Bombyx mori: one gene and its partner. The protein of the gene in region 1 interacts with the protein of each later gene in a biochemical or structural test. Links are inferred from orthologs where the notes say so. Each region holds a gene or a part of one and is shown in the gene's direction. Other genes may lie near its edges. The genes, in order: asparagine synthetase domain-containing protein CG17486 and beta-1-syntrophin.

The links.
Region 2: the proteins of asparagine synthetase domain-containing protein CG17486 (region 1) and beta-1-syntrophin interact in a test that uses a peptide from one of them, tested with the Homo sapiens proteins (2 studies listed by IntAct, with this or other methods). The link is inferred for Bombyx mori from reciprocal best matches to the Homo sapiens genes ASNSD1 and SNTB1.

Annotation. Positions count from the first base shown.
Region 1 is NC_085110.1:14,030,037-14,034,519, forward strand, and holds the start of asparagine synthetase domain-containing protein CG17486, read left to right. Parts: upstream 1-1,611; 5' UTR 1,612-1,747; coding exon 1,748-1,798; intron 1,799-1,875; coding exon 1,876-2,127; intron 2,128-2,849; coding exon 2,850-3,021; intron 3,022-4,483.
Region 2 is NC_085118.1:12,118,024-12,121,855, forward strand, and holds part of beta-1-syntrophin, read left to right. Parts: intron 1-269; coding exon 270-377; 3' UTR 378-3,832. UniProt on the Homo sapiens protein: Adapter protein that binds to and probably organizes the subcellular localization of a variety of membrane proteins. May link various receptors to the actin cytoskeleton and the dystrophin glycoprotein complex.

The DNA of each region.
Region 1 (4,483 bases):
AACGCTGAGAGAACTTTTGGCGGGAACGCGAGGAGTGAAGTTGTGTGATTTGTTTTGTCTATTTAGTGTTTCTTTAAGTTTAAATGTGTATTATCGGCGGTTTATTAACTTTAGTATCTTTGAAAGTACACAAATATAGGAAAATGAAACAAAGCCGCTGAAGGTGACTTCTCGGGATCCTCCAAAAAGTCCACTGAAAAAATCTCAGTAAATGACCACCATTTTACTGAGATTATATTTCATCCCATATTATCTCATCTCATTTCATTTTGATTTTCATTTCATTTCATGCCATGTTTCGTATTAATCAACTTCATTTCATTATATCATTTTTCATTTAAAATAAAATTAAAATGACTTGACCTTTAGTTACCATGTCATAAAATTTCTTTAAAAAATTCTATGCCTATATCACCATGGAGTTAAATAAGTAGGTACCGGTAAAATAGGGCGATTAGGGATTGAGAGGCGAATCGGGAAAAAACTGGGAAAATCTTTCGACGCTCAATATAAGTTTTATATTCGTTGCAAAATCTTCCATTTTTTGTAGTTTAATAGTAGAATGTTGAAAGTTCACAAAACAACTCTGAATATGCATGATAATAGCTGCTAACTTATAAAAAATCGCGTTTCAAATTAACTTCCTGTGGTGGTAATTATTTTAGTGCTAGAAACTTTGCTCTCTTTTATTTATTTGATAATAATAGAAGACGACTATGATTTATAAACGTTATTTAGTGTTTGAACCAGCATATATATTAAAGGTAAGTCTCAGTTGTTATTGGTTTTAATGTAATTGATTAAATAAAAATACATGTAAAAATCTGTTGTTTTTGGGGATATTGGGGACGCCTTAGGTACAAATAACAACGAAAAAGGGGTCAATTGGGATGAGAATACGTGAAATGGAAACGACCTAAGTATAAATAGGTACAGGTTTGTAGGGTTGTCTATGTAGTTATAACAATATTTTTTAAATTTGTTGGTAAAAACCTGATTTATTCGAAGCGAAATTGGGAATAAGTCTTTAGTTGAAATAGATAAGCAATTTAATATAAGTAAGTCGATTTTGCAGAGACATGTAACAAGATCAATGAAATCTCAAGGTGGACAAAAATGTCTAAGTAACACATAACAAAATATTTAATATTTGTTCAGAGTGGGGGTATTCATCTGATTAATCCATGGAATAACCGACACACCTAATCTCTTAACCCAGATAGAAATATCAGCACTGTCGATTGCACCTATAATTGAGGTGATGTCTGCCATGTACTTTTGTCAGTTTTTCAATTTTTTTTATTGATGATCACTTTGTTGGTGCAACTAAATAAATAAATAAATTAAAACTATATATAAAAATAAAAGTAGTGCCAACCCTAGCAAATTTCTCATTTCGTCCCAATTAACCGCAATTTTCGGGTAAATAGGGATTACACCTATTTTTGCATTTTTTGCTTAAACTGGAATGCTAGTTGCATAATTTTAAATTGGATAACAAAGATGCCCACAAGACTCAATCATTTTGATCCTGATATAGCATTATATACATCAACAACTATCTTAAAATTGCTCATAAAGTTGGAATTTGTCCCTAATCGCCCCATTTTACGGTACCTACTTACTAAAAATACCTAACTCTATGGAGTATGGATATTGGGTATCACCGACGGCTACATCGGTGGTGTTTTTAAACCATTTGAAACTTTGAATTGCTGTTGATCGTTTGGATACCGTAATTGACAGCATGTGTGGTATATTTTTGGAGTTAAGCTGCGAAAAATGTAGCATAGTGAACGTACGTGATTATTAATCTGAAATGTTGTTACGTAGTATACCAATTTTAAGGTTTTTTTTAATAGAGACCATTTCTAGGATATTGATGTCCTTCGAAGACTCAAAAACAGAGGACCCGATCACTTACAGAGGAAGGATTTTATTTCTGAAATTGGACACCACATAGTTTTCGTAGCCTCAGTTCTATGGATGCAAGGTCCGCAAATGACATTACAACCTCTCGAAAATGAATGTGGCATCCTTTTGTATAATGGTGATATATTTGACGAATCTTGGGATAGCAGAACCAGCGACACGCAAATAATCATGGAGAAACTTAGTTATGATTGTGTGAGAAATAGTTGTTAATTTATCAATTCATATTATCGTTTTTTTTTTATTAGCAGCAAATATTTAAAGTTCCTTCCAAAGTCTTACTGCCTAAAACTTGACATTCATTTATACCAATAATAGTACATTGTGCACCAAGGGAGAAAAGTAGGACATTTCCTCCTGCGGGTAAAATTGTCAAAAAAATGGCAAACATGCAGGATGAGATGTCCTACTTTTTTCTCGCAGTGCAAATACTATTTTTTTTCCTACCACGGCGAGTTCGTGGAATACCTAGCTGGGGTCCAGGAGCGAAGCCCTGGCAGAGGGTAGGGGGAGCGGAGCCCCCCCATACTCTTAAAAAACCATTTAACTGTTTTTTAATTTTTAAATAAACTACTACTAATTGAATAAGAACTGTCTGATGAACTCATCTTTGTTTAATACTTCAGTATTAAATTTTATTGCATTTTGTTTATTTCACTTTTACACTAAACACAATATTGCAAATTACCCGAGCACAACAATGGTGGAGAATTGTAGGTGCGTAAGAGCAGATGTAGACACTAACGCACATGCGCACTTGTACCCAGGGAGGAAAAGTTACACTTTCTTCCCTGTACAGCGGGAGGAAAACCAAACTTTCGGCGTAGGTAGGAGAAAATATTATTTTCCTTGGCTAACTGAACCTACAACAAACCCCTGGCAAGCTTATATACCTATATGTAAATATTATTTTTCAGGACAGTCAAATCGATAAAGTGATCAATGTATTAAAGTCACTAAAGGGGCCATTCAGCTTAATATATTACTGTAAAGTGACAAATAAATTATATTTCACTAGGGATCGATTTGGAAGAAACTCTTTACTCATACATAAAAATTCAAATTCTTTAGTATTATCCAGTGTCTTAGGTAATGTGATTTTATTCTTTATTATATATAAATGTATATCTATATCTAGAGTAAAATGTTAGTGCTTATTTGTTAGGCTTTTCTCTATTTTGAAGATTGTTATTCTTAAATGCAATCTTGATAAACTACTCACTCAATAATGGTGTTGGCACCTTATGTGGGCTTTTGACACAGGGATTTTTTTGATTTGATTTGATTTGAATTAAAAAAGGAAATTACTAGTTATAGTAAAATGTTAGTGCTTATTTGTTAGGCTTTTCTCTATTTTGAAGATTGTTATTCTTAAATGCAATCTTGATAAACTACTCACTCAATAATGGTGTTGACACCTTATGTGGGCTTTTGACACAAGGATTGATTTGATTTGAATTAAAAAAGGAAATTACTAGTTATAGCTACTTTTAACTGAAAGCACAGACAAACCTATTTTTGATATATTTAATTTCTTTTATACCTATAACATAGAATGTAAGTTTTATATAGTAGAACAGGCATATTTACTCTTATTTACCCAATTTACTTATCTAGTGACATTTTTACTAAGATGGGCAAAAAAAAAACTTTTCTTTTGGTACTACGAAATTATCGTCCAAGATGACAAAAAAAATGTAAAGTTTGAGCTCTTAATATTAATATTTAGAGGTGCCGCATCGTGATTTTTGATTTCCCATTTAAATGACACTGGTTTTTTTTTTCTTTGGAGTTTTATTGTATCTCAACGAATTATCGTGTAGTAAAAAGAAATACATATTTTTGTAGGGAATTAAACGGCCTACAAAAAAGGTCTGAAATAATTTTTTGCTAAGTCAACTCGGTTGAAAGTTATTCGCAGTTAAAGTTTAACCTAAAAAAAAGGCTTAAAAACATAAAACAACAATTTTTTTTCGTTTTCTATATTTATTGAGAATGAAAGCTTTGAAAAGAAAAATAATCAATTTTCCTTTTTAAAACTTGATTTCAAATAACAAATCAATAAATAATAGACATAATCGCATCAAAAATCTTTACAGTACTTCCGACTACATTAAAATCAGTTTTCAAAGCTTGCATTCTAAATAAATATGGAAAGTAAAAACGAAAAAAATATGTTGTTTTGTTTTTAAGCCATTTTTTTTGTGAAAAAGTCTAAAGGCTTCGTCAAACAGAACGCGTAATTAGCGCGCGTCAGAACTGACGGAGCGCTATGAGGTCGAGATGTGTTTGTGTTGTATAATATACTGTCAAACAGAGCGCCAGCGCTTTAAAGGCTTAGTCAAACAGAAGGCGTAGGCAGCGGCTTGGCTCTGCCCCTGGCATTGCTGAAGTCCATGGGCGACGGTAACCACTCACCATCAGGTGGGCCGTATGCCCGTCTGCCGACAAAGGCAATAAAAAAAAAAAAAGGCGTTACCTAGCGCTGCGTTTTAACGTCGCACTCTGTTCATGTCACGCGGCATGCGGCGGCAGCGCGCCGCGACAGCGT
Region 2 (3,832 bases), on another chromosome or scaffold:
ACCCGTTGAAAGTGGCATATTTCACGTGGCGTAGCATATTTGTGTATTTGTTACGTTTGATCGAAAACGGTGATGCAAAGTGAAAATGTTTACCCAAACACATCACCAAACTGAAGTGCCAAACTAAAACTAAACGTTTCTGATGCAACCGAGACAGAGATGACTTATATATTTTCTCGTTTAAAACCTATCACTTCTGTCACATCCGGGTTTTATGCGCGTTTGTGTATATTTTTCATTAAAATGCGTTTTCCGTGTAATTTTGCCAGGAGCTAGAAATGGACGGTAGCCCGAAGCCGGCTGTGTTCATTCTGCACAATTTGCTGTCGGCTCGCGTCCACTCGCTGCCGGGAGATCCGACACCGAACCCGCTATAACCCGAACAATTTAAAGAAGGCATCAAATCATCATCGAACGATAACAACTGCTCGTCGAAGCTGCTCTCATCGATATGATCAGGGTTGTACTTGTTTTGATTTGTATGATCAACGCATTGGATCGTACTCAGTTCGAAATTCAAATTGGATCGCACTCGACTCGATTTGTAGGGTTGGTTTGTAAAATAACTAGGTCGTAGTTTAGTAGAAAGGATTCAGTCAAGGATTATACCAAACGAACTCTTTGGAACATAGTAGTTTTGCAACAATTATCAATGAACGAAGGTTTTTTTTTACACTGGCAACCCATGCGACTAAAACAAAAATATATCATTCTGCCGCGCCAATAAAGAAACGAATCTAAAATGGCGTCTATGTACCTGCACTGACAAATAGTAGGGTAAACAAATAAAAAGAAAGATAGAAAGAAAAAGTTGTTTATTGTAAAAAAATAAAAATAAAAACAAATGAGAAAGTACTTTACTTTACTTTGGTGCCCTGGCAGAGGGGGAGGTGTCTCATATAGGATGCAACTTGCGTAGACACTTTTGCTGCCAGTCAGCTAAGTAGCACAACTCGAAAGTGAAAAAACTCGAACTCAACAACAAAGTCGAAACTAATATTTTTTTTTGCATGCAGTACGCGCCGTGTGCGACTAAAGACAGCAATAGTTTAGACTGAGAGCGCATGATCGCCGCTGCCATTTTAGATTCGTTTCTTTATTGGCGCGGCTTATAGAAGTAAATTTAAAATAATTGTAATGTGTGCTATTTGAGTGTGGCGGTTTGAGCCTTTTCTGCTAAATGCCGGTCTATTTTAAATATCGGTACAATAATCGACAAATACGCTCGGTCGTGGTTTCAGAACCTGTAAAAGCCGGCTCTGTGAAATATGTAATAAGTAGTAGCAGATCCAAGGGAATTAATACTATTCCTATAATGTCCTTGTGTACTCTTAACACTTTTGGCCTAATAATAAAAAATCCTATATTTAAATAAGGAACAATTGAAAGCTTAATTTAACATTTAACGTCAGTTTTCATTTAATATTAACCGACGAAGATAAAACAAAATCGAATAATTATATACTCGTATTATGAATTAAATTGAGGAATACATAATGCCACCTAGGCTACATTAAGCCGAAGTTAAAAAGAGTATAAAAATCTGCGAATCTTCTAAATAAATACTCAATAAAATTATATAATGTATTCCGTTGAAATTGAATCTCTTTTATCAAAATAAACGTATCTGTGATTGTGCACAATTTATCAAACGAAATTTCTGCATATCTGAAGCGAATTCTCAATTCACTCACTTCACTAGTATAGTATATACAATAAAACAGATTGGTTTTTTGCATAGTTTTGACTGTATATTTGTATGGCTAATCTGTAATAGTAAACTTTTCGGCATATACATGTATCTATTTTATATCATTCATGAAAAATTGTATTCAGGATGGTTTCGAGATTCGATCGCGTTATCTATTTAAAAAAACATTTAATTAAAGCTAAAGCAAAGAGTTGCGATTTGGCACCGTTGACACTTGACAAAGTAGCCACTTGACACTTGACACTTGTAAGCGATTGACAGAGACTAACGCAAAGGCACATTTTCTGGCCATGATTACCTACATATACATTCGTGATTACAAGTCTGAATGCCAAGAAAATGCAAAATTCCAGGGGGGGCGTGTTCTAAGACGTTACATCGATTCCGCTCAACCGAATTTGAGCAATTCATCATGCTTATAAAGAATCTCCATCTGACATCCCTGGTTTTAGTCACACGAGATTAGGAACTGACTGTCGAAGTTAAAGTATGTTTGGAAATCCCCTAAGGGATTCCCGGAGAAACCACGTTTAAAAATCAATATCACAATTAAAAAAAAATCAGTCTAGAGGATTGTTGAGTTAAAATCTAGCTACAAATACATAGAATATCGATCTCGGGAATTCCTGGATAATATCACCAACAACGTGTTCTTTGAGTCGAGGCAGCGAAAGCTTATATACTGCGTGTTAAAAAGATCACTTCCGAAAATGAAGATAGACGATAGTATTAATGACACCTTTGATGATGGGACGGAAAAAAATCGATACTGATTAAAAAAAAAAAACATTTTTATAGCGTATTATTAGCATTATTTACGCTCCTTTATGTTAGTACAGATAAATGAAACGATAGTTTTATAGAAAATACATTACTTTACTAAAAAAAACCAGCAATGAAACACAAAATAAATAACAGCTGATGCTCGGATCAACGAACGCCCAGGCGTTGCGTTTCTTTTACACGCACACCGGCGCGAAGCTGATACCGCGCTCCCCAAGAATTACTTTGTTTACTATCGTCTGTCTTCGTTTTCGGAAGCGGTCTCCTAACACCCAGTGTAGGTCGGTAACGTCTTAGAATATGAGTGTTAGATTAAATCAGCGGTCGGGGAACTTTTTTAATTATTACACCAAAATATTTTTTGTGTAAGTTGATATCACCTCATGGCGAAGAACAAAACAAAAACGAAATCGCTTCCATTTAGCATCTTTCATATTATAAGCCCCCATGATAATTTTTAAAAGAAAACAATAACAAAAAATTTAACGTTTCTAAAGAAGTTTCACTTCAATATATATTTTTTACTCACAAAAGTTTCATTTTTACCCCCAAAATTTCATTTTACCCCATTTGGGGTAATTTACCCCGGTTCCCCGACTGCTGGATTAAATTGACGCTATTTCCAGAATTTTGAAGAGATATTAAAATTTTAAATTATTCGTAACCGGTGAAAGTAATTTTTTAATGTGTGGTAGTACTGATATACAAACGTATGTAAATAACATTTATCATTCAAGTACATGAACACCACAACCAAAACGCAACATAATAATTAAACCAGTGCTTGTTTTCGTGTTTGGTTAAAGGTTGAGATCTTTGAAAACAGCTCCGGTAGTAAGTATGAGATAACCTCCGTTAGTAAGTATGAGTTACCTATAGGTTGCTGTATATTCAAATCTATAAATGATTGATAATAAAACAGTGAAGTACTAATTGTAGTAATTGTGTGGTCGAATCTCATGGTATCTTTTAAGATGCTCAAAGCGATGATCGCCTCCATGACGATTATTGAAACGAATGATTGTTGTAATTCGATATAATATCGTTTTCCTATATGATGCTCAAAGTGATGATCGCTTCCGTGACGACAATTAAAACGAATGATCATTGCAATTAGATATCATATCGATTTCTTGTTGAGCAGTGCCGAGAAGAACGTTCTCGAATAATTTTTAATTCGAAAAAGAATTGAACACCAAAATCGAAAACGGGACAATAATTATCATATGATTTTACAAGAAAAAAAAAACATATGATTCTAAATATGTTTCCAAATGAAAAATATAACTTACTGGTCATAATCTTCCAAAGAAATTGTTTTTAATGATAATTTTATAT